Linked DNA regions of Tamandua tetradactyla. The protein of the gene in region 3 interacts with the protein of the main gene of each other region in a pairwise test. Links are inferred from orthologs where the notes say so. Each region holds a gene or a part of one and is shown on either strand. Other genes may lie near its edges. The genes, in order: FAM204A, ZBTB44, SMYD1 and BHLHE40.

Region 1 (7,811 bases), on a different chromosome or scaffold from region 3:
CAAAACAGGCGAAAATCCCTAACCTGATGGAGCGGCTATTCTACACATGTGGCAAGCTTCTGTCCATCAGCAGTCAAATATCTTTCAGCCTGGACTTCTGTTTTGATTGCTTTTGAAAGGCATGTACCTCACAGACACAGGTCTCCCACTGGACCTCTGCTTCAGCATCCTAGCAGGATAACAGTCTGTGTCCTGGGTACCCAAATGGGCGCCACCCCATGGAGTGGTCTCCATTGCCTTGAATAGGGCATGGCTTTCCTCATTAGTCCTCAATCAGTTATCCATTTTCAAATGATTTCTGGACTTTTCAAAATTATCTATTTTTATCTGTCACTGAAGTGGTGTTAAGAATTGTCTTCAGTAAGACATTTGTCTGGTATGAGAGCTATGTGCGTGTGCTCACAGCAAAAAGAAAAATTAAAATAACCTTTAAAAAGTGGAATTCAAGTCCAAATCCATAAAATAAGGCAAAATCCAAATACAGTATATGTTTGAACTCAATTCCTGAAAATCTTTAAAGTGATGTGTTATTCTGTGATTTTAAAAAAAAAACACATTGGCAACTCAGTGGTCATAAATAACAGCTTCCACTCACTCCGTACCCGCACCGTGGAGCTGTCTATGTGACAAGCAGTTCCACCACAAATAAGTCAATGGGGGTGGCTGCTTAGTGACTTTTGTTTTGGGGTCATGTTTGAAAACAGTCTTTCTAGTCACAGAATGTACATATCATTCATACATTTTCAGTTGGCACCATGTCAGGTTTCTTATTATTCCTGTTCTGGCTGCTCTGGAGAATGATTTTCTGCCTTTCAAAGTATATTCCTTTATTTTAAAGCAGATAATTCCAAATTACCCTTTAAATGTGGTGAAAATTCACTCAGCTATTCTCAAGACACGGAGTACACAGAGAAATAGATAGAAACTTAATTTTTTAATGCAGATTATAGCTAAGCCCATATAACAGTTCATATATCAATTCATAAGCTTTCAGTTTTTAGCATGTAACTCAAATAATTTTAATTTAATCATTCAGTCCCCGCTACACTTCTCTGGGTCTCCATTCTTAAGCTATAAAATGAAAGGTTTGATCAGATGATCTGTGAGATGCTTTAGAGCTCTAAAACATTTCTTTATGGATCTTAATATTATGTATGCCCCAAATGCACTGTCACCTCAATCCTTGCTGCAACACTCCTTGCTCTCCCAGTCAGATGCAATACCGATTAAGCCCCAAGACCCCAGTAGTTAAGGTTCCTCTCCTCCACCTAGCAGCCACCGCCAAAATTGCTAGTTTTCAGGACTCTGCACTTCAAACAGATGCTCTGTAGAAAGTGAAGGGAAGGAAACCCCAGCTACGACAGAAGAAACAGAAGCAGAAAGAGGAAGCAAAAGCAGGTCACTACTACATATGGCATACAAACAATGTGACAGGCACTGGTTTACCATCCATCCTCTCAATGACCCTTCCACTAGGAATTAACATCTATACCCCTTTTACAGATGAGTAACTGACTTGCTTAATGCATTGTGATAGACCTAATGCACTGTGCTCTGTTTATTTTACACAATGTTCAGAAGGCTATGGGCTTAAATGATAAGCTTTTAGAAAGCATAGTCTAAGTAGAATTATACTCTTGAAGACAGATTTGAGAGCAGGTCTGAAGAATACGCTAGATTGTTGTTGCACAGTTGTTTTTAAGAACAGACAGTTATGTAAATTGCTATGCTTATTTAAGTGACATCCATCAAAGTCACATTCAGAGGTCTGAGTGAGAATACTATATTTTCTGGAAGATCAGACAGCTGTTCATAACCAAAACCCAAAAGATATAATCTGAGCAACTCAAAGAATGACTCCTGTTTCTAAGAATCCAGAAACTCAATTCAATTTTCATCAAAGCTGTCTGATTCATACTTGTATCCAAGTTGAAATTATCACAGAAATCTGAACTTGTCTGAACTGAATCTAATCTTACTTGCATAACAATCGTAAATTACCCGCCCATCAATCTGATCATGTTAAGTAATGTTAAACAATAATCAGTTTTTGTGACTTGTAATTAATTATTTAACTATAATATTTTAAAGCATGTATCATTAATATTAACATTAATGGAACTGCTGTATTTACTTTCATGAAATGAGTTCTCTTTTCTCAAAGAGACACAGAAAGAACAACTGAATCACAGGCCCGACTTCAAATCTAAGTTACCAGCCTGATTACCCAGACAAAGTATTTATTTAGCAGAACTTCTGCATGTATGCTTGTTCTAATTAAGGGGGATGCTTACTTGCTTGTCTAGTCAAGGCCTGGAAAAACGGGGACAAACACTTCTTCAGACCAAAGACCCTTCATGCAAAGATTTACAATTAACTAATAACATTTCAAGGATCATTTTAAATCGGATGTCGCTGAGAATACTTACAAGGTTCAAGACTTTTGCAAGAGGGTGGCTCTAGAAAAATACACCTTTTCCTGCTCGGCTGCACAACCCGGAACTCTGCAGGCTCTCCGGCGGCAGTGCCACAATTCAACCCCCAAACGGGAAGAACGCTGCAGATTCCGGTGTAGAATCTCTAGGCAGTTGACAATTCCAATAACTGTAGGTGTTTCCCGGGTTACTGCAATTGTAAACATGAGCTGTTTCCCCTACCGAGAACCTTACCCCCTCTCCCTCTGGCTGGGGTGGGACGGAGAAACCCTCTCCCACTAACAGGCTGGGGAAAGCACCGCGACGCCCCTTTCGAGGAAAGCCGAGGCCAAACCCGCCGACCACCCCGTGGGCCCGGGCTGAGGGCTTCTGTAGCCTGCCTCGGCCGAGAAGCTGTGAACCTGCCCAACTTCGTCCCTCGTCTGCCGAACTGGTAACTTCCGGACCTGTCTCGCTGAAGCTCGAGAGGGCCCGGAACTATCCCGGCAAAAGGCCTACTCACCAGTTAGGAACCGGCCGCCTAGCAGCCATCTTAAGACGCCGTCAACATCCTGCCTTCTCATTGGCTCTTACATCTCAGCCAATAGGATGGGGCCGTTCTGGCTACAAGGTCGCCATGGCAACCAGCCTCGCAGCGCACTCCTAGACTGGAATAAAGGAGGTTGCTTGTTTGTTTCCTCCTCTTTTCCCCCGTTTTCTCCTTTCATCTATGCGTCTTTGTAGGCTTTGGCCTTACTTCCTTCCCTCCCTATGCCAGTGCGTCTGGGTGGGGAAAGTGCTGGTTTAGAGATTGACCTGACTTCATCCCACGGGAATAGAGAATCGCTGCAGACGCTCTGTAGGCCCTTCTGAACCGTTTTCATTCATTCATTCAGCCTTTTTGTCTCCTTTGCTTTTTCCTCCTTCCCTTCCTTTCTGCCTCTCCTCTCCTTTCTGCACATATTTAGTGAGCGTCCGCTCTGTACCAGGCACCGTGACATCCTTTGTTTAAGAAAGTCCCAGTTCTGTTCTGAAAGTGCTTACCGTCTGGTGGAGGCCCAGCTGTTTGATTGACTATTTGAATTGTATGGCATGGCCAAAAGTTAAGTGCGCTTTACCGCGCCAAACACTGTTTTAGGTCGGGGTGGGGGGTGGGAGCGGGGAGCGGAGGTAATAGAAAATAAGCACCAAAAAAAAAAAAAAAAAAAAAAAACCCAAGTTTTAAAAGGCTGTGAAGAAAATAAAAAAGAGGGGTGTGATAGTGATGGGAGGCGAGGCTATTTTAGAAATCCTTTAATTTTTCGAGATTGTTTTCTGGAAGAAGATGGAGCGATTGGCGAGAGGACTTGTCGATCTTTTAGTGTGATGACGATTACATAAGAAAATGCACGTGGAATCCTTAGTACGTTACCGGTCCTACAGTAATTTCAAGTCTTAGCTATTTGTTGTTACTGTTGTTATTAGCAATAAAAGCATATCATTTAACTGCTCACTATGTCTTCGAGATGATGTGCCAAGATGTGGGGTTTCCTAAAACCCCAGCATCAGTAAAACCTGAACTCACAGGCTTGGGGCTAGATAACTAAGTCCCACTCATGCTCACATTCTGATTGGAGATTCTAGAGTGGAAGCAAGGATAAATAATTTAAGGGTCGGTATGAAATCCTCCTAGCTAAATAATGTATCCAGCTTCTTAATAGGGTTTCCCTTGAATCCAAATCCTTAAAAAGTTAAGGGGTTAAGAGCAAGGATTTGTATGAAAGTGCTTTTGTAGATGTTGTATTAGGGCTTTTACCGGTGATGGTAGAAGTGTCACTAGAATGGGGAAAGAGGGCTGAAAGGCAAATATTAGCTAGTCTAAGAATGATCTAGATTGTTTCTAAATATATTCCATGAGAGTATGCTCATTATTTATTGCATATAAATGTGCAATGGATAGAGGAGGGATATAATTATAAGCACTCCAAACACTTAAAAATTCCAGATTTCATATCAAAGATTTTTGGAAAGTCCAACCTTCAAATCTATGGATTTTAAAATCAGGTGTTCAGTGTAAACTGGGAAAGTTTCGTATATCTGATTGTTGACTCTATGACATCATTGAATTCCTATAATAAACTTAAAGAGCTCAGCCTTTTCTTTGGCTCCTGGTCGTAAGAGTTTTATATTTTTGAATATTATTGTTTTGCCAGTTTTCTGGGAAAACATCAGTCATTTGATTTATTTTAAGCAATAAATTTACTTTCCCTCCAGCAAATTCCTGTCCTGGAAACCTGCCAAGCCATGCATTTTGTGAATGAAATACTTGGATCTGTAAGGTTTCTATGAAACAGAGAATTGTTGAATATCTTTAACTAAATCATACTGAAATACCTGATGCAGCTAGTGAATTGTGCTTTAACCGTGTTGCATCTGGCACTAATTTCAAACATGTAAGTTTCATTTAAATTCTCAAACGTATTTAAAAAAATCACAAAGCAGTTTTTCTTTGCCAAGAAATATTATAGTTTCTGAATAGTTTTTCATTATATTTTTCATTATATTTTTTTCTTAGTGTAGAGATTCCAAGTCACGCCATATTTTAAAAGATTAATTGTGAAGTACTTTCTGGTGTCTGCTCACTCTATGATTGATGAAAAATTCCCCCAAATATAATGAAATCTCTTAAATTTTTCTCAGTTGGATAAAGTAAATATACCTTTGCTGAACATATAAATGTGCTTCTTGCAGAAAGAAAGAATAGTTAATTCCCTACTGTACAAAATGCCTCTTTTCTGCATTGAAGAAAAAGTGATTTAGTAAGGTATGCAAAAAAAATAGAAACCAGGGAGTTCTAAATTTCCTTCATGACTAACCAATGACAATTTCTCTGTCTGGATTTGTTTTTAAACTTTGCAAACAGACATATCTGCAATGTTAATTTACATGGAATATGTTGAAAAACTAACACCATGACATGGGCAAGATTTGACATTTGAGGAAGAGAAATGTCTGTACCATAGAATGTGACCAAAGAAAAATACCTTTACTTCACTGCTCATGCCTATTACTTTCAAATTCTTCAGGTCAAATAGGTTGCACGAGAGGGAGAGAGGGACAACAGAAGAGGGAGGTTTATTGATCACTCTTGCATGCTAGGTACTTTGCATCTATTATTATTATTATCATTACCCTGTGAGGTAGTGTGCTGGTGTGAAGGTATTATGAACCCCAGAAAGGTCATGCTTTTATCCTGAGTCAATACTGTGGAGGCTGCCGTTTCTTTTAATCCAGATACAGTCATGTAGGCTGGAATCCTTTGATTAGATTAACTCCACGGAGTTGTGACACACCCTATTGTGGGTATTAGCATTTTATTAAATGGAGATGTGACTCCACCCATTCCAGGTGGGTCTAGATTAGATTACTGGAATCCTTTAAAAGAGGAAGCATTTTGGAGAGAGACAGAAACAACAGAAGGACAGAAGCCTCAGAGCTAACAGAAACTTCAGAGCAGAGCCGACAACATGGAGAATAGAGACACGGATGTTTGGAGATGCTTAGAGCCCAGCAGATGTTGCCATGAGACGCTAAGCAAGCCAGAACCTGGAGAGAACCAACCGAAGCCAAGATATGAAAGCCAGCCTTGGAGAAGTGAGCAACCCCTACAGGAATAGGGGCTGAAGGCACTGGAGCCCAGGAGCAAGAGACCAGCTGTCAGAGGTGTTCCTGACCCATTGGAATTCCTTGAATTAAGGTAACCTCTTGTTGGTGTCTTAATTTGGACATTTTCAAACTTGCAACTTATTAAATCCCCCTTTTAAAAAGGCTTTCCAGTTCTGGTATATTGGGTTCTGGCAGCTTGCAAGCTAACATAGGTAGTTATTATTGTGTCCATTTTACAGATAAACTAAGGCTTAGAGAGTTTAAGAAGCTAGCATAATGTTACACTAGTACAGTGTGGAACCATGGTGTTTTAGTTTCCAATGCTGCTCAAGCAAATATGCAACAGTTTGGTTTAAACAATGGGAATTTATTTGCTTACAGTTTTGAGGCTAAGAGAAAGTCCAAATCAAGGCATCATCAAGGTAATGCTTTCTTCCCAAAGATTCATATTCTGGGGCTGGCTGCTGGTGATCCTTGGCCCTCAGCTTGCTACTTCACAAGGCACATGGGAATCATCTCTTCTGGCCTCTCCCTTCTCTCCTGGGTTCTATTTGTTTTGGCTTCTGGCTGCTCACTCTGCGGCTTTCTCTATCTGAATATCATTCTTTTATAGAGGACTCCAGTAATAGGGTTAAGCCCCATCCTGGGCCACACCTGAACTGAAGTAACCTCATCAAATGTTCCTACTTACAATGGGCTCACACCCACAGGAGAGGGATTCAGTTTAAGATGTTTTTGTTTCCACATGTTTTTGTGGAGTATATACAACTCCAAATCATCACACAAGGTGGGGAAGTTTCACCAGAATTTAAAGTTCAAGTTCTTCCCACTGTCACAAACTACCTCTTTAAGAGGAGGGTCTGGATAAATCCCAATGCAGTGCAGTCAATAAAGTATAGACGTCATTGCCCCTAGGGGATGATATACCTAGTGGGAGCTCATGAAAAGGGAGGCTTCAGGAGAAAAGTGTCGCCTCTTCCTCCTCAGTACCTAGCAAGTGATGCAATCCCATCAAAGGTACCTCTTTGATTCTTCTTCGTTTGCTACATTGAAGTCTATGCTAGTGTCCCCTTTCCTAAAACCTTCTCCCAGAACACCCCACTGCCTGATTAATCTCTCTAATGAAGGGCCACATATACAGCTTTTAAGGCAGAGCCTGGTATGTGGTCAATGCTCAATAAATATTAGTTTCCTTCCCTTACACATACAAATGAAGGATGACATAATTTTGATATGTTATCAGATTGATTTGTGCCCAATGCTCAGCATCAGGCTAGGGATTATAGAGGATATAAAAGAAGTATATGAACTGTCTGGATGTCTGTAGTCTAATTGATACATATAACATTGTTGTAAATGATATATTCTTTGTCATAATTACAAAAATATAAGATCTATGATATAAGTAAGCCCTACAGAAGTCCTTAGATTGGAAAAGTAGGCTGGATGGAATTTAGCACTTTGTATTTTCTTTGCCTGGAGTACCTTTACTATTCTTTACCTGTTAAATTCCTCTTCATCCTTCAAAACCTAGAGCACTTCCACTTATATTCTGCATTCCATTTTATGAATTCACCCCAACCCTTAGGGATATGTCCTTTACCATGAACTTCCATAAAATACCTTTACTTCTTTCAAACTCACCACAAACATGTTCTATGTTACCTGTTACCTCCTTTCCACCTTCAGCACCACATCCTCAATACATTTGAAACAGCGACAGCAACAAAGCCGTACTAGGTCAGCTAGGGT
Region 2 (7,369 bases), on a different chromosome or scaffold from region 3:
CCATCCTGATTCAATTTGCCCTCATCTAAATAGGATCTTTGAAGTTCCCACTTACAAATGAGTCCACACCCAAAGGACCAGGGGTTAGCATTTAATATGTCTTTTGTGGGCGACTGTTTGTTGTAGCCCAGGGCCTGGACCCCCCTACATGGCCTATAACAAACCTGCTTTAGCCTAGAAGGGAAGAACATAACCACGGATGGAAAAACAGCATTGATTGTATCTTAGTCTTAAACATTAATCTTAGTAAAACATCAGGTCTTAGTCCCCTTTAATGATTATACTAGATATCCAAAGTCCTTTTACTGCATGGAATGTCTTTGTTCTAAAATCATGTATTATTCCTTGCACCCACCCCAACCCTGTTCCTTGCTTAGCACTAAACTTCCAGACCAGCTGCCACTGGAGAACCTCTCCTCCAATAAATCTATGTCTACTTCTGTACCTGGCATGTTTCTCACGTGCTGTGGATGAACTTGGTCTGGGCCCAAACACAACTCAATCTACTACACAGGGTATCTGTTATTCTATATGGTGTAGTTGCATTGTGTTGCTCAACTGGGTAGAGGATGAAATAGAAACACCAGAAGTGCAAATTGAGGGTAGGAAAGAGTTTAATTTTTGCATGTGTCCGCACACACACACGTGTGTATGTACACACATGGGCTGGGAATATGAGTCTCCTGTATGGCAGGCGAACATTATATCACTGAACCACATCCATGCGCCTGAGATTAATCTTTTAAATATAGTTGGAGCGATATGATAATTGAGCAAGGCTGGTACATGTGGCATGAGAAACTCTCTGCCTTTGGAATTGCTCAAGTCAAACAAGGTTCTTTCTCATGAGGAGAAAACATTCTTTCTCTGGAAGAAGTTTTGGACTAAATAAGTTTCCATTCAGCTTTAATAGTTAACCCTGAGAAAGTGCCATCTTTTTCTGAATTTGGTCCCCAAACAGCTACAGTTGAAATAAACCTGTTTGACTGGAATTTGAATTCCTCCAAATCATCCACAATAGGTTAATAATTAAAGGTTCCTCATACTATCTACCTTTGTATCACCTGTGTTCAGAATTCTGGTTTCACAAACTCCTCCCAGGAGTATTATTTAACCTATGCCAAAGAAAGGTGAATCTATTCCAGCAGCCCAACAGCAAGTCTCTACTAGCTGGTAAAAGAAAAGGTAGAACGCAGCAGGCAGAAGCCCCAGAAACCGACCCTGCCCAAAGCCAAAACAGAGACATGGCTACCTGCAATAATCTTTGTATATTTTCTCACACCCTCTCCAAGCATCTAACATTGTTTGGGCCCTTGAGGGCTCCACAATTAAGGATGAATTGAATCTCCAGATCTGGGCGTGGAGTGAGAGTAGGACACCAATTTCAAAAGAAAAAGGAAAAAAGAAAAGTACTAAAGGGAGGAACCAAGTGAAGAGATGTGCCAGTTTGAAGCTTTTATGTACCCCAGAAAAGCCCTGTCCTTTAGTCCTCATTCAGTATTGCTGGGTGGAATACTTTTTGATTGTTTCCATTTGTGGGTGGTAACGTTTGATTAGATGGTTTCCATGGAGATGCGTCTCCACCTATTCAAGATGGGGTTGCTTACCAGAGCCCTTTAAGAGGGAACCATTTTGGAAAAAGCTTAAGAGCCACCAGAACCAACAGAGCCCCTGCAGCCAAAGACCTTTGGAGATAAGAAGGAAGACACCCCTGGGGGTGTTCCTGAAACAAGAAGCCAGGAGAGAAAGCTAGCAGCTTTTAAAACTAAAAGAGGAGATGAGAGAATACACTAAGGATGTAAAGAAGGATTTTATAAAAGCTTAACAGTAGCTAATTTTTCTTGCTTAATTTAGCTATTTACATATATTTTAGCTTCTGAATGATAGAAATATCCAGCAAAAGCATTTGTGTCATTTTATATTCACTGCTATGCATTTGGTGTGAGTTAAGAATTGTAAAGAAAAGAGTTATGGGCCCCATCAGGCTAAGAAAAACAACCCGGGACTTCCCAGAGGCGGTCATCTGCTTCTTGCAACAGTGTTGGTTATCTGCTTCTTGCATGAAGCAGCTCCTGTGACTCATGCTTGAAAAATGTTTGTTATCTGCTTCTTGCAAAAATGTTTATCTGCTTCTTGCAAAAGTGTTTGTTATCTACTTCTTGCATGAAGCAGCACCTGTGACCCATGCTCGACCCTCACCCCCCTCCTCCTACCCCTTAAAAGCTTCCCCAAACCCAGGCTCGGGGCTCTCTGTTCCTGCGCGTTCAGTGAGCCCCACGCATGTGTGGTAAATAAACCCCTTTGGGTGTTGCATGAGAGAACGTCTCTTGGAGTCCTCCTTTGCGTGGCAAAACTCTCGAATTCTTACAATGTGATGGTATTGTGAGCCATTGGTCTTACACTATGGATGGATTGTATGTGCGTGAAGATTTCTCAATAAAATTTTTTTTAAAAAATCATGTAATTCCTACAGTATTGTGCAAGTCTTGACGCTGCCAGAAGGCTGTCCTGATTAATAAGACACAGAAATCCTGTGTATAAAATTCAGAACTATTTAACATTATTTAAACCGGCGATTTGCATTTAAGAAACTATAGGGTCAATACCTAGAGGCCGATCTTCTGCATTTCATTAAAATTGAGTTACTGGTTCATTTCTCTCCTTGGGCAACTCATTCCAGCCGTAAAGTAAAATCAGGAGGATAAAAGAACAAACCTCCCAGTAAAAAAGAAAAAAGTAAACATAAAATGCTAATATTAGTACAATGATTATTATCATTAAAAAACAAAAACAAAACTCAGAACACAAATGCCTGGACCTAAATCGGACCTTTCTGATTTTCCTCGTTTGTGAAATGGGAATAATAAAGATGATCGTGGGAATAACAATTAAATTCATGTATCAGTGTTGTTGTGAAGACTAATTAACATCCTAGTTATTTGAAAACTTGATGGAAACGTAAAGGAGGATACAATTAGCAGGTTTTAAAAGTTGTCTTTATTTCTCAAGCAGATTTCAAATGTTACGATTAGGGTGTTAGGGTACCTGGTTGCTAGTCTCTCACACTGAGAATTAATGCGAAATGTCGACAAGTGTTTCAGAAGAGTAATTCACTCGGACTTCAGAACGTCAACCCACTTGGAACAAAGCACTTGAGAGAGAAATCTTTCTGTTTAAAGGCTGGAAGCTGGGGAAAACAAAAGATGCAAATGAAGACAGCCCGGGGCGCGTCTGGCTACCAGGATCCCACCCTCGCACTGCCTCGAGGGTCCGGGCAGGCGCCCTCCCCCTGGGCGTCTCGGCGGGGCAGCCGGGACGGTCCTTTTCATCGTCGGGTCCTGGCCCGGAGGGGCCGGCCAGATGGGGGAAAGTTCGGATCCAGGGACTGGGGAGTCTGAACATGGTACACGCTCCCCGAGTCCTCCCCAAGCAGTACCGCCACTTTGGGGTGCCCAGCAAATAAAGTGCCGGTGTCATCTGAGGATGAGGCGCGGTGGCGGAAGGCATGGGGGCAAGCCAGTTCTCGGACCCCTCTCCCGGCTGCGGGGTCGCCTCTGCACGGCAGCGTTTCCCTAGGAGAGGCTTGACCTCCCCGGTGGGTCCGGGCTGTGCTGTTCCGGGTTCAGCCCCGCAGCAAAAACCACTGGAAGAAACCGGCCTTTCTTTGCTTAATTCATAGGGAAGAAGTGCGAGCTGCGTGCAGAACGCCGAAAAAGGCGGATCTTACCAAGTGGAAAGCAAATTGAGCGGAGGCGGGACGAGTTGGGGGGCGCTCCTACGGCACGTGGAAACCCATGTGCGCGCGCACCCGGGCAAACACACCGCCCGCGTCCCGGCTCCGCCAGCGAGGCCTGACAGGCAGCCCTTCTGCGCCTGCGCGATAAGTCCGTGCGGCCGCCCCGCCCCGCCCCTCCAGCCAGCCCCGCCGCCGGCGCACAGCATTGTGGGACACAAACAAAGTGCCCCCCAAGCCGGCTGGAGGGAGCCGGGCGGTAGCAGCGGCGGCGCAGGGCCCGCACGAGCGGCGGCGGCTCCCCCTCCCCAACCTCCCCTCCCCTCCCCTCTCTCCCCTCCCCCCCTCCCCACCCCGCCCCGCCGGGACCACGCGAGCCGTCGCCGCGCTCCCTGCGGCCACCCGCCCCCACGGCCGCCGGTCGCGGCCCCCTGGGCCCTCGCTCCGCCCCTTGGGCCCGCCGGCCGCCGGGGCTGCGCGGCCACCCTCCGCCGCGCGCACTCCCCGCGGGGACGCGCTGGGCGTCCCCGCCGCCATGCCCCAGCACCAGGCCGCGCACGGGCCTCGGCGCGGCGGCCCGAGATAGGGCCTCGGCCCCCGGGGGGGACCAGGAGCCAGCCGCGCGCCCCGCCCTCCCCCGGGCCGCCGCCGCCGCCCGGGCCTGGCGGGAGGAGGAGCAGCAGCAGTAGGCCTCCGGGCCTGGCACCGCCGCCGCAGGTAACGGGAGGGCAGGCGAGCGCGGATGGCCGGCCTCTCTCGGCGCTCGGTCCCTCGGGCGCGCCCTCGGCAGGGCTGACACTGCGCGGGCGCTGTAGGGACCGGGGAGCCTTGTCTGTCACCCCCCCCCCCCCTCCACGCGCACACAGAGACTCTCCACGATGGCCTCTAACCCTTGAGGCAGGAAACTGGTCTTAGCCCACGCGGTTCGGGGGAAATTATCCCGATCTTCAGTCTGCGCACCCTGATCCAAAGGTTACCGCCGCTCACCTGGGGGGATTTTTAGGTGGGAGCCCTTGACCCGACTCCCCCCACCCCCACTCTGCCACGCTCCTTGTCTGGTATTGGAAAGAGGCTGGCACTTTTTTGTTGTTGTTTGTTTGTTTTAATCACACCTTTTTTTCCTGCTGTACCTGAAGATCATCCTCCATCTAGTCATTTTACTGCCGGCCTAACCAGAGCAAGGGGTTTCCTGCGTTTCGTGAAGTGACAAGTAACGTTAGAAATGATGAAATTGCATCCGTGTGAGTTCTATGAACTCACCGGAATTTAATCCAAATTTAGTCGAAAACCCAATAAATGTGTACTTTATTGGAATGGATCTATTCAATGAAGACAGCGACTTAAAATTTTTCAACAAGGGCGTAGATGTGCGTTGGAGTCAGGAAAACATTCTTTAACTTCACTTTTCTTAGTGTTTTCTTCGTATGTAGGCTACTACCAAAAGCAAACTACACAATTTGAAGCAAATACTTTATGTAGGTGACGAGTTTTATAATTTTCCTTTTTGTCTAGGGTATCAGTTGAAATTCTGAGATTTAAAAAAGTTATATGAATCTTCATATCCCGTATTATTTTACTTTAACTTCCGGTGGTTTAATACTACTTTTTTTTTTTTCTTAACATGGGCTGAGGCACCGGGAATCGAACCCGGGGTCTGCGGTGTGGCAGGCGAGAATTCTGCCTGCTGAGCCACTTGGACCGCCCAGTACTTAATTTTACCTTAAATGTGGTTTCTTTATCTTGGAATGTGAAAATAATGAAAGGAATGTTTTCCTTTATTCTTGTAGTTTATGATGATTGCAGTCATTATGGAAATTGTTTACTTGTATGCAACGTTGTGCTAGGCATTTTACTATGGAATCTTATTTCTCAGAGCAAGCTAATGAAGAAGGTATTACATTTTATAGATGAGACAAAAACAGTGATGTTAAGTAACTTGTTTTAGGCCACACAACTAATAAGTGAAAGAGATGAAATTTAAACCCAGAAATAATTTCAGTGTAGATAGGTGCACTTTCTACTGTATCTCCTAATAGGAGTTACAGGTATCTCCTAATAGAGTTAGAATGTTTTTAAGTTTATTATGAAAATTTTCAGCTGTACGAAGGCAGGAAAAAACATGCAATTATTACCCACCATCAACATTGAGGAGTACCGTTTTTGCTGCATTGTTCCCCCCTTCTTCTGTGTGTGTAACCATTTGAAAGTAAGTTGCAAACATCATGACACTTATATTTCAGCATGCATTTCCAAAAAGTAAAGATGTTCTCTGACCCCAGTATCATTACCACATCTATCAACATTAAGATTCCAATCCCTATCCAAATTTCCTCATAGCAAAAAGTTTGTCTCCTGGCTGGATTCAGTTGAAATTCATGCGCTGTATCTGGTCTCTTTTTAAAAAGAACATACTCACTCCCCACTGTTGAGTTTTTGTTTTGTTTTGTTTTTCCTTCTCGGACATCTGAGATCAAAGCAGTTGACTTTTGAATATTGTGGCATTCCCACGTTCTAGAATTATTTCCTCATAGTATCACTTAACTTTTTCCTTTATCCTCTGAATTTGTGTTAGCTGGAAGTTAATCAACGAAGACTTGATTAGCTTGAAGTAAACTTTTTGGGGGCAAGAATTTTTATAGGTGATGCTATTTACTTTGCATTACGTGATTTCATCTGTCTTTATTGAAGTGGTGACTGCCAGATATCTCCATTATCTAATCACCCTGGTGTGATTAGTGTGTAATAATGACACCAAGCCCATAATCCGTTTATAGCTACCTTTTGTTCAATGATTTGAGTACCCTCAGTTATTTTATTGGAGATTCTCTGTAGGAGAATTTTCTTTTCTCCTTTCCTTCAATACCTGGGCATATACTAAAGGTCTTCCTGAAATGCAGGTTAAATGTTTAACTTCTTCCCTTTCATCATCAAAATTCAGAGTCAAGACCAGGGTAATAGTCAACCTCTGATGGTGGCAAACAAAAATTTTTTTTGGTGGAGGGGGCGGGGGGTGTTCATATCACTATGTGAAAGGCAAACTCGCCAGAAATAAGTTGGGAACAAAGGAATTCAGGCAGAGGCTTTATTTCAGAAGAAACAGGGCCGCCGAGGCAGTGGGCAGTGGGCAGTGGGCAGTGGCAGCGTTTCAAGAGAGAAACAGCTGCCCCGGAGGTGTCAGGAGATAGGGTTTTCATGGGTTGGGGTTAGGGTGTTGGGGCAAAGGTTAGGCAGGTTCTTATTGGCTAGTTTTCAGAAACAGGGGGCTAAGTTTGGAGTTGTCAGCTTTCCACTGGTAAAGCTTAAAATTTAAGCGCTGCTTTAGGCATGCAAGGTTGTAAATGTCGGAGGGTGGATATTGAGTAAGGAGAGTTTACTGCAAGAATGAATATGCCAGAGGGTGGAGGTTGAGTAATGTGAGGTTATCGCAAGAGGGCGACTGCTGGAGGGTGAAGGAGATGCGGGCTGGTGTGAATCGGGGTGAGAGAGGCTTTCTGAAATATTTGCCAGGGGTAGGTCATGTTATAGGGGAAGGGGTCCTGTCCTCCAGGCCTAACACTGTAGACACAAGGATTTTAATTTCTTTATTAATTGTTTTATAGCCATTTGCAGTCTTGGTTCTTTTTGATGATTAAATTG
Region 3 (6,928 bases):
AAAGGACAATATCATCCACATTTTAAAACTTTAACTTCTGTATGAGACCAAAGGGAGAGATGTTTAGTTGGTGCTAAATTTACATTTTGGGCAGCATATTACCTAATTTATCTTGTATGCTGACTTTAGCTGAATACCATAAGAACATGGAATCTTGTTGGTTTGCCCAGGTTATTGTGAAGCCCTGATACATTCCAGAGTAATTTGGGCAGAGAACAGATAAGTATTCGCAAAGTCCCCTAGGAGGACTTGGGGGGCGGGGGAAAAGGAGGAAATTTTCAACTTCCCCATTTGGAGAACTCCTGATATTCTCTCCAGCAGTGGGGACAATCAAATCAACAGACTTAGCCCTCATTCTTGGGGCTTGCCCTTATGAAACTTATTCCTGAACAGAATAAGCTCAGCCTACTTATACCTATGCCTAAGAATCACCCCCAGAGAACCTCTTTTGTTGCTCAGTTGTGGCCTCTCTCTCTAAGCCAACTTGGCAGGTGAACTCACTGCCAAAAAAAAGTATTTGCAAAGTCCCCTTCGGGGAATGGTGAGAAAGGGGGAAAATTCAACTTCCCCAAGTTGAATTCTTGATATTCTCACAAGCAGTGCAGACAACCAAAGCAATAGGCTGAGCCCCCAATCTTGCAGTTTGTTCATATGAAACTTAACCCCAAAAAGGATAGGTCAAGCCTATTAAAATTAGGCCTAAGAGTCACCCCCAAGAGAACCTCTTTTGCTGCTCAGATGTGGCCTCTCTCTCTCCAGCCAACACAACAAGCAAACTCACTGACCTCCCCCTGTCTTCGTGGGACATGACTCCCAGGGGTGTGGACCTTCCTGGCAACGTGGGACAAAAATCCTAGAATGAGCTGAGACTCAGCATCAGGGGATTGAGAAAAACTTCTCGACCAAAAGGGGGAAGAGTGAAATGAGACAAAATAAAGTGTCAATGGCTGAGAGATTCCAACCACAGTCAAGAGGTTATCCTGGAGGCTATTCTTATGCATTTAATAGATATCACCTTGTTAGTCAAGATGTAATGGAGAGGCTGGAAGGAACTGCCTGAAAATGTAGAGCTGTGTTCCATTAGCCATGTTTCTTGAAGATGACTGTATGATACAGCTTTCACAGTGTGACTGTGTGATTGTGAAAACCTTGTGTCTGATGCTCCTTTTATCTATCTTATCAACAGATGAGTAAAACATATGGAATACAAATAAATAATAGGAGGAACAAATGTCAAATTTAGATTGAAATGCTAGTGATCAATGAAAGGGAGGGGTAAGGGGTATGGTATGTATGAATTTTTTCCTGTTGTCTTTTTATTTCTTTTTCTGAATTGATGCAAATGTTTTCAGAAATGATAATGATGGTGAACATGCAACTATGTGATGATATTGTGAATTACTGATTATATATGTAGAATGGAATGATCATAAGTTAAGAATGTTTGCATTTGTTTATTTTTTTAAAAATTAAAAATTAATAAAAAAAAAAGAGTTACTGTGGCTAAGAGATTTAAGATAGAGCCAGGAGGTCATTTTGAAGGTCAGGAGGTCATTTTAGAGACAACTCTTACACAGATCTAAACAGATATCACATACTGCCACAGTATGCAAATATAAATGAGAAGTTAAATTAAGATTTAAGGAATGATTATGATTACTAAATCATTATATAGATATTCCTTTTTCACTTTCTGGTATATTCGAGTAGACAGAGGGAAACACCTGAAATCTCTGACCTATAATCCAGCTGCCCTTGTGATTATAAGGACTTTGAGGCTACTTTCACTTGTACCCACTTATCCAGTTCAATTTTAAGAGTCTTACGATCACTAAAGACAGCCCCTAATGTTTATTAATGAAGGGCCTTGGGTCAACCCAGAAGTAACCACCCCAATTCCAAACTTATCTTGATAACTGAAACTGGACCTAACTAAAATGGTCTGCCTGACATGTGTAGTAGTTTAGACTTTAAGCTTATAAATGACCTAAATACTAAAAATTTTTAATACTAAAAACCATGCCCATCACCATACTAAGGCCGCCACTTTCTTACATACATTCTATGACTAAGCATATAATCAACCTGCATATGCTCAATAATTAGATCACCTCTAATTACTTCATTTGAAGCTACTGTGCTCATTATCCTAATACCTGTCCATCTTTTTATACTGTAAAACTATCAGAATCACTGTAGTTTACGGAGACAGATTTTGGGGCTGACAGGCCATCTGATCCCCTGCAGGCTTAGTAATAAACTCTCTCTTTGGAAACACCGGTGTCTCAAGAGCTGGTCAGGCCTCTGTCTGTTAACACAAAGCCCCATGTAACAATGTTCCTGAAAACACTAGCGATATTGGGGCACCATAAACACACCATAAGACAAAGAACTCAGTTAACTACCCTGTAGGACAACTGGAGTACCCCCAGTAATGACCAACCACAAACAACTTGGGTAATCTTCTCTTCCTTTAAAAACCCTTGCCTGGAAATGCCAAGACAGAACATGGTGGGGTTGCTGTCTGAATCCGTGCTCTCTGAATTGCAACTCTAAGACCCCTTTGTTGCCTTGCAGCTTAGTTATTTCACGTTGGCAATGATGAGATTTATACATATACGTACTTATACGTGTGCGTGTATGTGCGAGAGAGAGTATGTGAGGGATAACGGTCATTTACAGGTCAATGATGAACAAGGACGGCACCAAGACCAAGATTTATGCTTAACCTACTCTCGTGCTAAAGGTCAAGCAGACAAAGTAGGGGACCACATCTTCTTGAGACTGTTTCGGAGGTGAGCTCCGCGGACTTACGACTTCTTTCTCCTCAACAGGCTCCACGGTTCCTCCAGAAGCCGCGCCATCTAACCGGCAGCCCCAAGCGTATCCTTTGGGCGGGAGGAGGGGCGGCGGGGCAGCAAAAGGGGTGGAGCTGAGGGGCGGGGCGAGGGGCGGCCGTAGGAGGTGGCGAGGGGCAGGGCTACGGGGAGGCGGAGGGACGCGGGCAAGGGGGTGGGGCGATGTGAAATCACGTTCCGGCCATCACGGCCGTGCGGCGACCCGCGCACGCGCATTAGTGCGCCCCGCCGCCATGGTGTGGGTGCGGTCCACTCACCCGCGGCCGGTGGCGGCGACTTCCCCTCAGGAAGTACAGTCTCCGCCTCCTCGTCCCGCACCGCCTGCTCGGCGGCGGAGGCGGTGGCGGCGGCAGCGGTTGTCCCTGCCTCCGCCACCTCCACCCCGGCTCGCTTCCCGGCCGGCGGCGTTGGCGGGGAGGGGGACAGTAGTTTGTAGACGCCCGCCCCTGCCTCGGAGAAGGTGAGTTCCCGCCCGGCGGCGGGGGCGGCCCGGCCTTCAGCCCCTTGACTCCCCCGCTCCAGCCCGGCCGCGCCCCGAGTCCGAGCGTGCGACATGGCCGGCCCGGGCGCGGCCGGGGTTCCTCCACTCCCCTCCCCGTCTCCCGGCCTCGGAGAGGGGCGCCCAGCGCAGCGAGGAGGCCGAGGTTTGGGGGGACCCGAGCGGCCCGGAGAAGGTTGAGCCTCTGAGAGTCGGGGAAGGGAACGGTGGCTGAGTGGAGAGAGAGAAGGACAAGTCGCACCCTGAAAAGTAAAGATCTCTCGGGGCGGCTCCAGGAGCAGTGAGTTAGGAGTTGAGAAGTAGGAAGTAATATGGGCACTTTAGACTTGCAGGGTCCCGGGGCGGAAGGAAGACGGAGGTATCACTCGGGAAGGTTGGTATCACTTGGGAAAGTTCCTTGGCCTTTTGAGGTATGGCCCTGTAAAGACAAGCTTTTGATGTTTACAGGCCATCTTGATAATGATCTGAGTTTTCCTCTGTATCCATCAACACATTACCCCCAACACAAAACTCTGTTTCTTGGCCATCTCAGATAAACTAAGATTTGAGTTTCTACAAAATACCTGCCAGTCTTCCGGCTGCGTAAGGCCTTGAAGCAATCCTGGGAATGGCTTGCTGTGGTGGCACTTAATCCAGTTGCAGATCTTGGTATTTACACTGTGTCCTGATGTTGCTTTTTGACTCAGTGAAATATCGGAAACCAGAAGACTATTGAAAACTTTAGATGCTTTTTTCCTGGAGGAATACCCATAAAATAATGTAGTTTTCACCCTCTTACTGGGTATATGGCATTCCTGTGTGCTACTCCATAAAACTTTTACACCTTTCGCTTTGGAGGAATGACAAAGCAATTATAAATCTCTTAAAAACTTTTCTATAAGCACTTCATATAAATGCCGTTCACTAAAAATGCTGCGATGAGGTGTTCTATATAGTCTCTCAGTGAAGGCAACCTTTGGAAGACTAGATTCGTGTCTTCCTTCAGCCTGGATTAGTATTCTGAAATAAAAAGTAAAATCTTCTGGGTTTTTTGTTTTATACCAACGAAGTACATAGCTTGCTGTGTCAAAGACTTCAACTCAGTCTGGCTCCCAGGGCTGGATCACAGGAAGATTTGGAAACAGCGTCTCATGGAAAAACTGCTTAATGCCACACTGGACATTTTGTTTTGTTTGTTTATAATGTCTTTTAATACATGCAATTATTAAAGACAAATAACTCAGTTCACACAATGTTAGCAGTAACCTTTCTGTACCTCCTCAAGGTGGTCAAGTGAGAAAACTGGAGGAGTCTGGCTAGTATAGGTTCTGGTGCTAGGTGCTCCAAACTTTCTGATCTTTGCCTTGGGAGGATTGGACTAGCCCATGTCCGGGTGGTGATTTTGTCCCCCCTACCCCGGGAACTTTGGGAGTGTCTGGAACATTGTGGACTGTCACCACTGTGATTGGTGGTTGCCCCAGGCATCACGTTGGCAAGGCAGGGATCCTGTAAAGATCCAACAGTGCACAAGATAGCTACAACAGAGAACTATCTACCATAAAATGACAGTAGTGTGCAGTTGAGAAACCCGGAACTATCCACACTCTGAGGTCCCTTAGAGCTTTAAAATTGTGAACTATGATTTCACAATTCCCAGTTGTTTTTCTTTCCATAGCATGGCTGTGTACTAGAACAACAATTCATAAAACATAAGGAACTTTGACCTATAAGGTGGTCAGATGGCATTCAAAGAGTAGTAAAATCTGTGTTCAAATTAAGAGTACTTGCTAGAATTTGAAAAACAAAATACAATAGTTAACTAAAAAATTACCTCCTGTCACTGTATTTCAGCTAAAATCCTTTAACTGTTCAGTTAACTACTCAGTTAGCAATTAGGTAAATATTTCATATGTTAACACTGCTTAACACACTCAATATATTTTTAGTTTCAATATTTATAAAAGCCTTTAATAATTGCCAGTTATAATGGATAAACAGGAAGAGGAAAAAATGTTTCTTGGTACTTTGCCAGTATCTTTTTCTTTAAGACCTTGTTAGAAGATTTATCCCAAACATATCAAAGAATTATCATGCTTCCGGTTACTACAGTTCCACTTTCACTTTGAAGATCCTAATAGGACCATTAAAAGTGATTTGAAGGCATCTGCCAATCTATTTTCACAAACTATAGTGATAGGTATAATAGTTTATAATAGTTATAAACTATTATAATAATCAGTAAGGATTGGAAATTGACAAGCAGGGAAGAAATACAAACTGAAAGTTTACAAATAGGAAACAAACTCAAAATAAAAACCCGAAGAAATACGAAATGGCTAGACTTACACGAAAAGAAATATACATACCTAGAATTTATGGTCAGGATGTCAAAAAATTTTCCAGGACACTTAATAATTTATTCAATGGAGTTTTTTATATTTTTGACATAACAGTGAATTTTCACCGAATCATGATATTCCTGAGTAATCATAGTAAAACAGCAGCAAACAAAAACTTATTTATCTACCTCTTTTAAGGAAAAAAGGAATGAAGTAGACTCAGATTTAGAGTTGAAGGACCTTTCTGATTTATTGAATCATTAAAGCATTTACATAGCAATTGCCTAAAAATGCCTACTTTTGTTTCCATATTAATCAGAGATTCAAGTTAAATGGCAGTGAGAAAATGGAGCAAATAGCCCTCTTAACATTTATTCAAAAAACATTTATTCAGCTGCTGCTGTGTACCAGGTATTGTGCTCAATATTGAGGATGGTTTGGTGAATTAGGCACAGACAGCCCCTTTAAAAGCCTCTGCTAGTGCTTGGTAGTGAAATTAGAAGGAAAAAAAAAGATTGGTTGGGGGGAAAATGTGATTTTACGTATGGATTAGTAAAAGACTCCTAACCTCTCAGGAGTACCTTGTTTTTCTGCCCATGACATTTTATTTGCTACAGGCACACCAGAGCACACTGTTGTAAACCTAATGTTGGCAGCTGGGAAGACAGGCTGGGGAGGCGGGCTATCTGGAGAGACGTTAATGATAGTTTATTAGTTTCAAATCTGCTGCCTTTACTAGGTCTCAGCATGTGAATTAAAGTGACTAACTTAAACTTGCCCTTACTGTATTCATCACATGTTAGGACATAAGCACTGAGATTTTTTCCCCCTTCTTAATAGTTCTTACAGATCCATTCACATTTACTAACCCATGGGAAGGAATGGCATGTGTTTGATGGCTTTCTGATGAAAGATATGTGTCTTGACTCCAAACAAAACTAATGGATTTACACAAGAATCTAATTTTACAAGCATGACCTGAGCTAATTTGCCACGGAGTACTTAGGATTATTGCGTTCAAAGACTGAGTTTAAATAAAGACATACATTTAATATTAATCATGTAGCTAGTATTCACAATTAATGAATTGTTGATTTTTTTTGTATTTTGTATTTGGAAATATGACCTGGTTAACCATTATTCATTTTTGAGATTGTTGTATTAGTGAAATAGTTAGAATTTAGCAAACTCATAGGTCAGATACTAATCTTTTCCTGAAAAGGGAAGGTTAGTAACTAGCATTAATAGCTCAA
Region 4 (7,110 bases), on a different chromosome or scaffold from region 3:
TTCTCTGCTTCTTAAGTCAGGAAAACTAGCTAACCCTGAAAAGCACTAAAAGGGAAAGTCTTAAACTCTTAAAAAAATGGAGGGGAGCCAATGTTGGAGCCTATTATTTGGAGACATCCTAGTGGTTCTCACCTCATTTGCATGAGGCTTCCAGAAAATCCCAGGGCTGGGAAAGGTGGACGGAACACACTGAGCCACCGCCCGTGAATCCGGCTGTCCGGTCTGCAGTTCCCCGCAGGGCCTGCAGGCGGCGAGTGACCCCCCCCCCCCCCCGCCCACCCCCGCCCGCCCTCGCGGCAGAGGAGCTGGGTTGGAGAGGGGCCAGCTTCTCACTTACTGTAAGTTTGAGATGTTCGGGTAGGAGATCCTTCAGCTGGGCGATACACTCGTTAATGCGGTCGCGTCTCTTTTTCTCTATGAGCCGGTGCGGCAGTTTGTAGGTTTCCTGCAAGGCGCACGGGGAGACAGTGGGCGCCTGGGTAACGGGATGCGAAGCACCCCGGACGCGAGAAGGGTCGTGCAGGGGAGTAGAATCGAAACCCAGAATCACCGCCTGCCGATTTCCCCCCAAGTACTCACTAGAGGCACCGAGCCCGCATCTCGCATCCCCTCCTCCCGCTAACCTCAAAGCGAGAAAACTTTTCTTGGAAGCTCAGAACGCAGGAGGGGCTAGGGCGTCGGGTCCTCAGGGGCACGATGCGCTTACCTTGCTGTCGTCGCTCCGCTTTATTCCCCGTCTCGACTTGTACACTTGGTACATGTGTGCAAAATCCATCCTGCAGGGAGAGGTGCAAAGAAGGGTGGTGAGTTTGCCTGCGCACGGGCTGCGGCCACTCTGGGGGAGCAAGAACCCCAGGACTACTGGAGGTGCTCGAAGTTGAGAGAAAAGAACGCCGCAGAACGTAGGGCTGGAGTTAGGGTTTGAAGTGGTCAAGGGGTGCCAACTTACCCTGGTAGGTCTCCGGGCTCAAGTCCTGGCGTTTTGGACAGGCAGGCGGGGGGCGGTTGCGCGCTGGGGATACGCTCCATGGCGCGGCGAGCCGGGGCCACTACGCGCTCCTCTCTGCGCTAGCCGGGCGTCGGGGTGAAGACTGTCCTGGAGGGGGATTCGAAGGTCTCTCCTCTGGGAGTTTGAGCTCTCTGAAATCCACCGGGCTGCCAGGAGCAGCGACTTCGCGGCGCTGCTTCAGTTGGGAGCGTGCATGGCCCGGTGTTCCCGCGGTCTCTGGCTCCGGCTCTGCGCACAGACTGGTGGTGTGTGCTCCCAGTGCCGTCTGCGCCTTGCGAGCCAAGTGAATGAGAAGTGGGGCGGGCGGGGAGGCGGGAGGGAGCACGGCGCGGGGTGGGGGTGGGGGGGGGAGACGGTTAGGGCGGAGTGTGTGTGTGTGTGTGTGTGTGTGTGCGTGTGTGGGGCGAGCCGAGGAGTAATGGAGAGGCGGCGGGCTGGGTTAAAAGGGAGCCGAGTGGGTGGATTGGAGCTACGTGTTCTACCCTGTGACTCCAGGCACGTCTGGCCGCTGCCGGGGAGGGAAGGAGCGACCTGCCCGCCCTCCCCCGACTTCATCACATGAGCCTCACGTGTTGGACAAAGCTCCCGCGGCTGCGAGGGAGCCCCCACCCCCAACCCCGGCCCCCAGGTGTCTGCGGCTGCGGCCGCCTTTCCCAGAAGAGGGGGTGGCAGTGTGGCCCGGGTCCTGCCCAGCCGGGTGGGGGGCGCGAAAGGGACCGGGGAGCTGGGGGAGGGTTGGTAACGTGGGCGAACCTGCCCCAGGGAAATGAAGTAAGTTCCCGTCTCCCGGGAGGGAACGGGGGAGGACGGATCCGCCCGCGTCTGACTCAAGCCAGGAGAGGAATATCCCCTCGATCGCTCCGGCCCAACCCTCTTCCTTCTCCCCCGCCCCGCCCGTTCCGAGGAACCGGCGCTCAGCGCCGGACCCCCTCCTTTCTCCAGACGCTGGGGGTTCTTTGCGCCCCAGCTTCCCTGCCCCCACCCCCCAGCCCCGCGTCCTGGAATCGCCAGCCGTGGGGAGGGACCGAGGGGCGGGGCGGATGTCACCCCATGGGAAGCGGGCTGGCGGCCAAGCACAAGGGCAGCCGAGGCCGCCGCGGAGCACGCTGCGCGCACCTGACCGTGGAGGGTGTGCGAATGGAGCCCCTTGCTTCCCGGGAGCTCTGCTCCGGGACACAGCCTGCCGGCGGGCGGGCACCCACTTACGCATCCCACTGGGTGCCCCGATGCCCCCGCCCCCGACTCCATCTAGTTCAGCGCGGAAAGCAACCCGGCGCCGCGCATTGCGCTCCTTCCCCTCTTCCTTCCCTCCCTCTGCCCCCTCCCGAGCAGAGGCTTCCCGGGTCTCCTCCCCTCCGACTGCAACGTTACACAACTGCGGTGGCGGCGCTTGCCCTGCAGCAGCGCAGGGCGTGACGCTTCACGTGGCCGGGGCTCGAGCCGCAGCGCCGCAGGCTACGCGCTCCTGTGCGCGGGCCCTGAGGCGGAGACCCCGGGGACGCGGGGTGCCAGCCCTGGCCGGCGGTCTTCCCGCCTACAAGGAACTTCAGTGCGGCTCTTTGCGGTCAGCACTCATGGCAGGAGGAAAGAGACAAGAAAAATCTATTCGTCCATCAGAATCAGAACTTAGCATTCTTTCAGGCGACGCACATTTATTGAGCCACCTACTCTATGCCCTGCTAGAGACAGCGAAGGTGAATCAAACACTGCCCTGGAACTTACAGGGACCACCGGGAGGAGGATAAATTGGGCAATGAGGGGAAGGGAGTCCGGGGAAAATTATATTGGGACCACTGACCGAGGAAAAAGGACACAAAAAAGGTTTTTTTAAATGCCGTTTTAAAAATATGAACCAAGAGGCCCGAAGGCGTCCTTCAGCGGCCGGATACTTCTGCAATCTCACTTGGGCCGCCCGAGGCCCCCGCCTACCTGCCCCGGAAAAGTCCAGTGTCCGTGACCTTCTAATTCAGCCTGGAGCAGGGAAAACGGCTGAAACTCCAACCAAGCGGTGTGAGCCGCGCTGACATCGTCAGAGGAGGGAGCTAGTGGAAATTCATGACTAAAATAAGGCCTGGCTGGGGTTTCACTGACCTCTGCGCTCCCCTGCCCTGAAAATTCGGGTAGTTGAGAGATGACTGTAAGCCTTTCCCACCGCACCTCCGGCCAGCACCCCGCTGCTGAGTGACCTAACTGTGGGAAGGGTTGACGGAAAAAAAATTGGGGTCACTGCCGGGATTGGGTGAAGAATAGCCCCGGTGCAGTTGCGGGAGGGGGTGGGGGGAAGTCCTAATTGGCAGTGTCCTTGACAACCTAGAGAACTGGGATTCACACGTTGGCCAAGCTGGTGGTGTATACCCTTCAGGTCGCTTTGGAGAGCTCCCACTTCCTGTTTATGTTTCACAAGCGTCAAACTTATTAGCAAGTGTGAGAAATGCCTCCTTCCCTAACTGCTAACTAGCGTGACCTCACTTCGGGGGCTGCAGCGATCCCTCCCTCCCGGAACGTACTTTTCTTATCAGCCATCTCTGGAGAAAATGACTGCAGCTCGATTTCCCGCCTGGAGGGGAGCAGCAGGACCAGAGGCTGAGCGGGGGCTGCAGTAGTCCTGGGTGTGCGCTTTCAATCTACCGGTGACCCGCGCCACCGTGTGACTTTAATAAGGGTGAAGAGCTGTCATGACTGCGTCAAAACCACTTCCACCTGGAAGTAAGTACTAGGAGAGGAAGAAACACATGTCCCCTGGCTGTCACGCCCACCCTCCCCCAAAGCCAAGTGTGAACCTAAACATTTCAGTTTCCTTAATCATAGCTCATGACAATATCATTTTTAGAATTCTTTGACCTTAATATATTTATTTTTGCCCTCATCTTTCCTACAATTGAAGATAAACTGTATGCATTGCCTACTTTTTATTTGCTCCAAGCCTCAAGAAGTATCCCCACTCCCCTACACACACACACACACACACACACACCAAAGATCAACCATATCTGGATTAAAAAAAAAAATCTGTTTCTGTCCCCTCCATAGTTTATAATTATTTTTTATTAATTAAAACAAAACATTTCCTTTCCAGCATTCGTCTTTCCATCCTGAATAATCTTAATGTTTTTAATCCCTCACTTTTTGTAGATACTTGCTTGGTGATTCTGTATGCTAATTTTAGACTGTATACTGAAAACTTTATATATGTTAATCTCACCACTGCTTTATAAGGCAGGCACAGATATTAGCTCCTTTTTACATTCGTTTAACACATGTTTATTGAGAACCACTATGTGACAGACACTGAACTAGAACAGAAGGATATGTAATATACCTCTTAGGGAAGCGGACGCTCAGAGACGTTAAATAACCTGTCCCTGGTTACATAGCCTGGGACAAGACCTGGGACTAGTGTTCAGGTCTATTGAGCTTGAAATCCTGGCAGAGTTGTGCAGGTTGTACACTGCTCAATTCCAGGGGGAGCCATTCACACTCAGTGTGTGTAAGAGCACCCTCTGGAGTTGTGCAGTGTAGCAGCAAGCAACTGCACTGGGTAACCCTGCCATTTTGTAGCCCTACCCTCTGTTTTGTCTTTTTGGAGTGAGGAAAGAATGTAATTTTGTACAAGGGAAGGACAAGATTTTTCTCTTTTCACTCCTAGTGGGGCTCATCATCTGTAGGGACTCCTTGATACCTCCCGAGCAGGAAGTAAGAGCCCACAGCACCCCCGCCCCTCCTGCACGAGCCCACATCATTCTTGCTCAAACATCACTTTTTGCTCATTTACAGATCCTCAATATTTTTTATCACAGCCCACAATGAAAAATTCATTTTACATCATGAGTCAGCACACACGCAAATACACACCCATGCACACATGCATGCACACACATCTTATGTACATTTACACAGAGGGAAGCCGAGGCTTGGTTGGGCTATAGCAAAAAGCCGCCACTACTCTCTCTCCCTTATTCCTGAGCAACTATTGCTCATTTAAAGAAAAGCCAGTTCAATGGATTCCAAACAAAAAATTCACAAAACAGTATTTCCCCTTGGTATATGCAATGCATTCTTATAGTTCCCAGTCTATTTTATTAAAAGAAAAATATTCTAGTCTTAACTTACTAAATTGATTTCACAACTGACCAATAGATCCTAATATGCAATTTGAAAACACTGCTCTAGACTAGAGACAGTGTTGTATTTTTGGTTCCACCACCGCCCCCCCGCCCCCAAGAAAGAGATCAGTAGCATTTGCACAGTTGAAGATCTTACAAGAGTACATATAAAAATATTAAATGAAACTGCTTCGACCACTGGTCCTGGTTTGATTCAATGGCTTAGATGTCTCTCTTCAGGAAAGCACCTATTAATTCTTACTTTGTTTCCTTTGTATAATCACTTTCCTCATTCTCTGATCTTTTTAAAAAACTGTTTTTAATTGTTTTATCGGGATGAAACTAACCCAGTTAAAGGGACAGATCTTAAGTGAATTTAGATAAATGCATACATCTGTGTAACCATTACCCCAAAACAAGATACAGAACATTTTACTATCCCAGACAGTTCCCTCATGGTACTTTCCAATCTATAAAGCCCCCACCCCCAGCCTCCCACCTATCCCCCAACACAATCATGTTCTGATTTTTATCACAGTGAATAAGTTTTGCCTTGTATTGGAGTTCATATAAATGAATGTGCTCTTTTGTGTAAGGTTTCCATTGCTTACACTGTTTTTGAGATTCTTCCATGTTGTTGCTTGGATTAATAGATCATTCTTTTTTTTTTTTTTTTTACTGAGTGTTTCACTGTATGCATATAATACAGTTTGTTTCGTGTGCATATAATACAATCCAGTCTGCTGCTGATGGGACATATGGGTTGTTTCCAGTTAGGAGCTACTTTGAATAAGGCTGCTATTAATATTCTCTTACAGTTCTTTTTATGATCATATGTTCTCATTTCTTTTGGATAAATACTGAAGAGTGGAATTGTTGTGTCATGGGTTAAATGCATGCTTAGCTTTATTGTGAGCTGCCAAACATCTCCAAGAAGGTGGTCCCGTTTTACATCCCAAAGGCAGTATATGAGCATTCCAGTCACTCCACATCCTCACCGACATTTAGTCTGGACAGATTTTTTTTATTTTAGCCTTTCTAGTGGGTGTGAATTGATGGTGTATTGTTTTAATTTGCATTTCTCTGATGACTAATGAGGTTGAACACCTTTTTCTGTATGCTTCTTGACCATTTATATATCTTCTTTTACGCAGTATTTGTTCAAGTCTTTTACCCTCTTTAAAAGCTATTTTGTCTTTTTATTGTATATAGAAGCACAGTCCAGTTTTGTATGTTGGCTTTGTGCCTTGCCACCTTATCCTTTTACTGTTGACCTACAGAAGTTCCTTATATATTCTAACTCCAAGTCCTTTGATAGAAACATACACTGCAGATATTTTTCTCAGTCTATGCCTTGCTCACTAATTTTATTAATGATGCTCTTAATGATAGAGTTCAATTTATTGATTTTTTGTGGTTATTTCATGTATGCTTGTCTTTTTTTAAAAAAATTGCCTGCCCCAAGATCATGAAAATATTCTACTATATTTTCTTCTAGAAGCTTTATACTTGTGGTTCTTATATTTAGGTCTTTCCTATCTCAACTAAATTTTTGTATATGGAGTGAAAAAGAGGTTGAGATTCTTTTTTCCTTTTTTTTGTCCCAGCAACATTTGAAAAGACTTTCCCTTCCCAATTAGATAATAGTGTGGTTCTATTTATGTACTCTCTATTTTGTTCTATTAACGTCTTTGTCTAGGTTTTCATACTTTTGTTTGTTTACTAAAACTTTATAGAAATCTTTAAATTGGGTAGTGTAAGTTCTCCAGCTTTTTTCTTTTTAAAGATTGTCTTCACAGGTCCTTTACATTTCCTTATAAATTTTAGATCCAGCTTGTTTCTTTCTTCAAAGAAAAATTGCATTGAATCTATAGATCAGTGTAGGGAAAAAAGATACTTAAACAATATTGAATCTTCTGGTCTATGAAATGGATATAGCTTCCCATTTATTTAGGTCTTCTTTAATTTCTTTCAACGATATTTTCAGTTTTATGTGTA

The links.
Region 1: the proteins of SMYD1 (region 3) and FAM204A interact in binary tests that used the Homo sapiens proteins (3 or more experiments, as listed by UniProt). The link is inferred for Tamandua tetradactyla from reciprocal best matches to the Homo sapiens genes SMYD1 and FAM204A.
Region 2: the proteins of SMYD1 (region 3) and ZBTB44 interact in binary tests that used the Homo sapiens proteins (3 or more experiments, as listed by UniProt). The link is inferred for Tamandua tetradactyla from reciprocal best matches to the Homo sapiens genes SMYD1 and ZBTB44.
Region 4: the proteins of SMYD1 (region 3) and BHLHE40 interact in binary tests that used the Homo sapiens proteins (3 or more experiments, as listed by UniProt). The link is inferred for Tamandua tetradactyla from reciprocal best matches to the Homo sapiens genes SMYD1 and BHLHE40.

The regions. Positions count from the first base shown.
Region 1 is NC_135339.1:80,715,986-80,723,796, forward strand, and holds the start of FAM204A (protein FAM204A), read right to left. Parts: upstream 3,020-7,811; 5' UTR 2,938-3,019; exon of another isoform or gene 2,626-2,937; 5' UTR 2,430-2,625; intron 1,326-2,429; exon of another isoform or gene 1,176-1,325; intron 1-1,175.
Region 2 is NC_135334.1:5,832,252-5,839,620, forward strand, and holds the start of ZBTB44 (zinc finger and BTB domain-containing protein 44), read left to right. Parts: upstream 1-4,365; 5' UTR 4,366-4,450; intron 4,451-7,369. UniProt on the Homo sapiens protein: May be involved in transcriptional regulation.
Region 3 is NC_135343.1:60,149,545-60,156,472, forward strand, and holds the start of SMYD1 (histone-lysine N-methyltransferase SMYD1), read right to left. Parts: upstream 3,008-6,928; 5' UTR 2,865-3,007; coding exon of another isoform or gene 2,815-2,864; intron 1-2,814. UniProt on the Homo sapiens protein: Methylates histone H3 at 'Lys-4' (H3K4me), seems able to perform both mono-, di-, and trimethylation. Acts as a transcriptional repressor. Essential for cardiomyocyte differentiation and cardiac morphogenesis.
Region 4 is NC_135335.1:44,546,996-44,554,105, forward strand, and holds the start of BHLHE40 (class E basic helix-loop-helix protein 40), read right to left. Parts: upstream 3,018-7,110; 5' UTR 2,939-3,017; intron 1,281-2,938; 5' UTR 1,030-1,280; coding exon 950-1,029; intron 777-949; coding exon 707-776; intron 446-706; coding exon 338-445; intron 1-337. UniProt on the Homo sapiens protein: Transcriptional repressor involved in the regulation of the circadian rhythm by negatively regulating the activity of the clock genes and clock-controlled genes.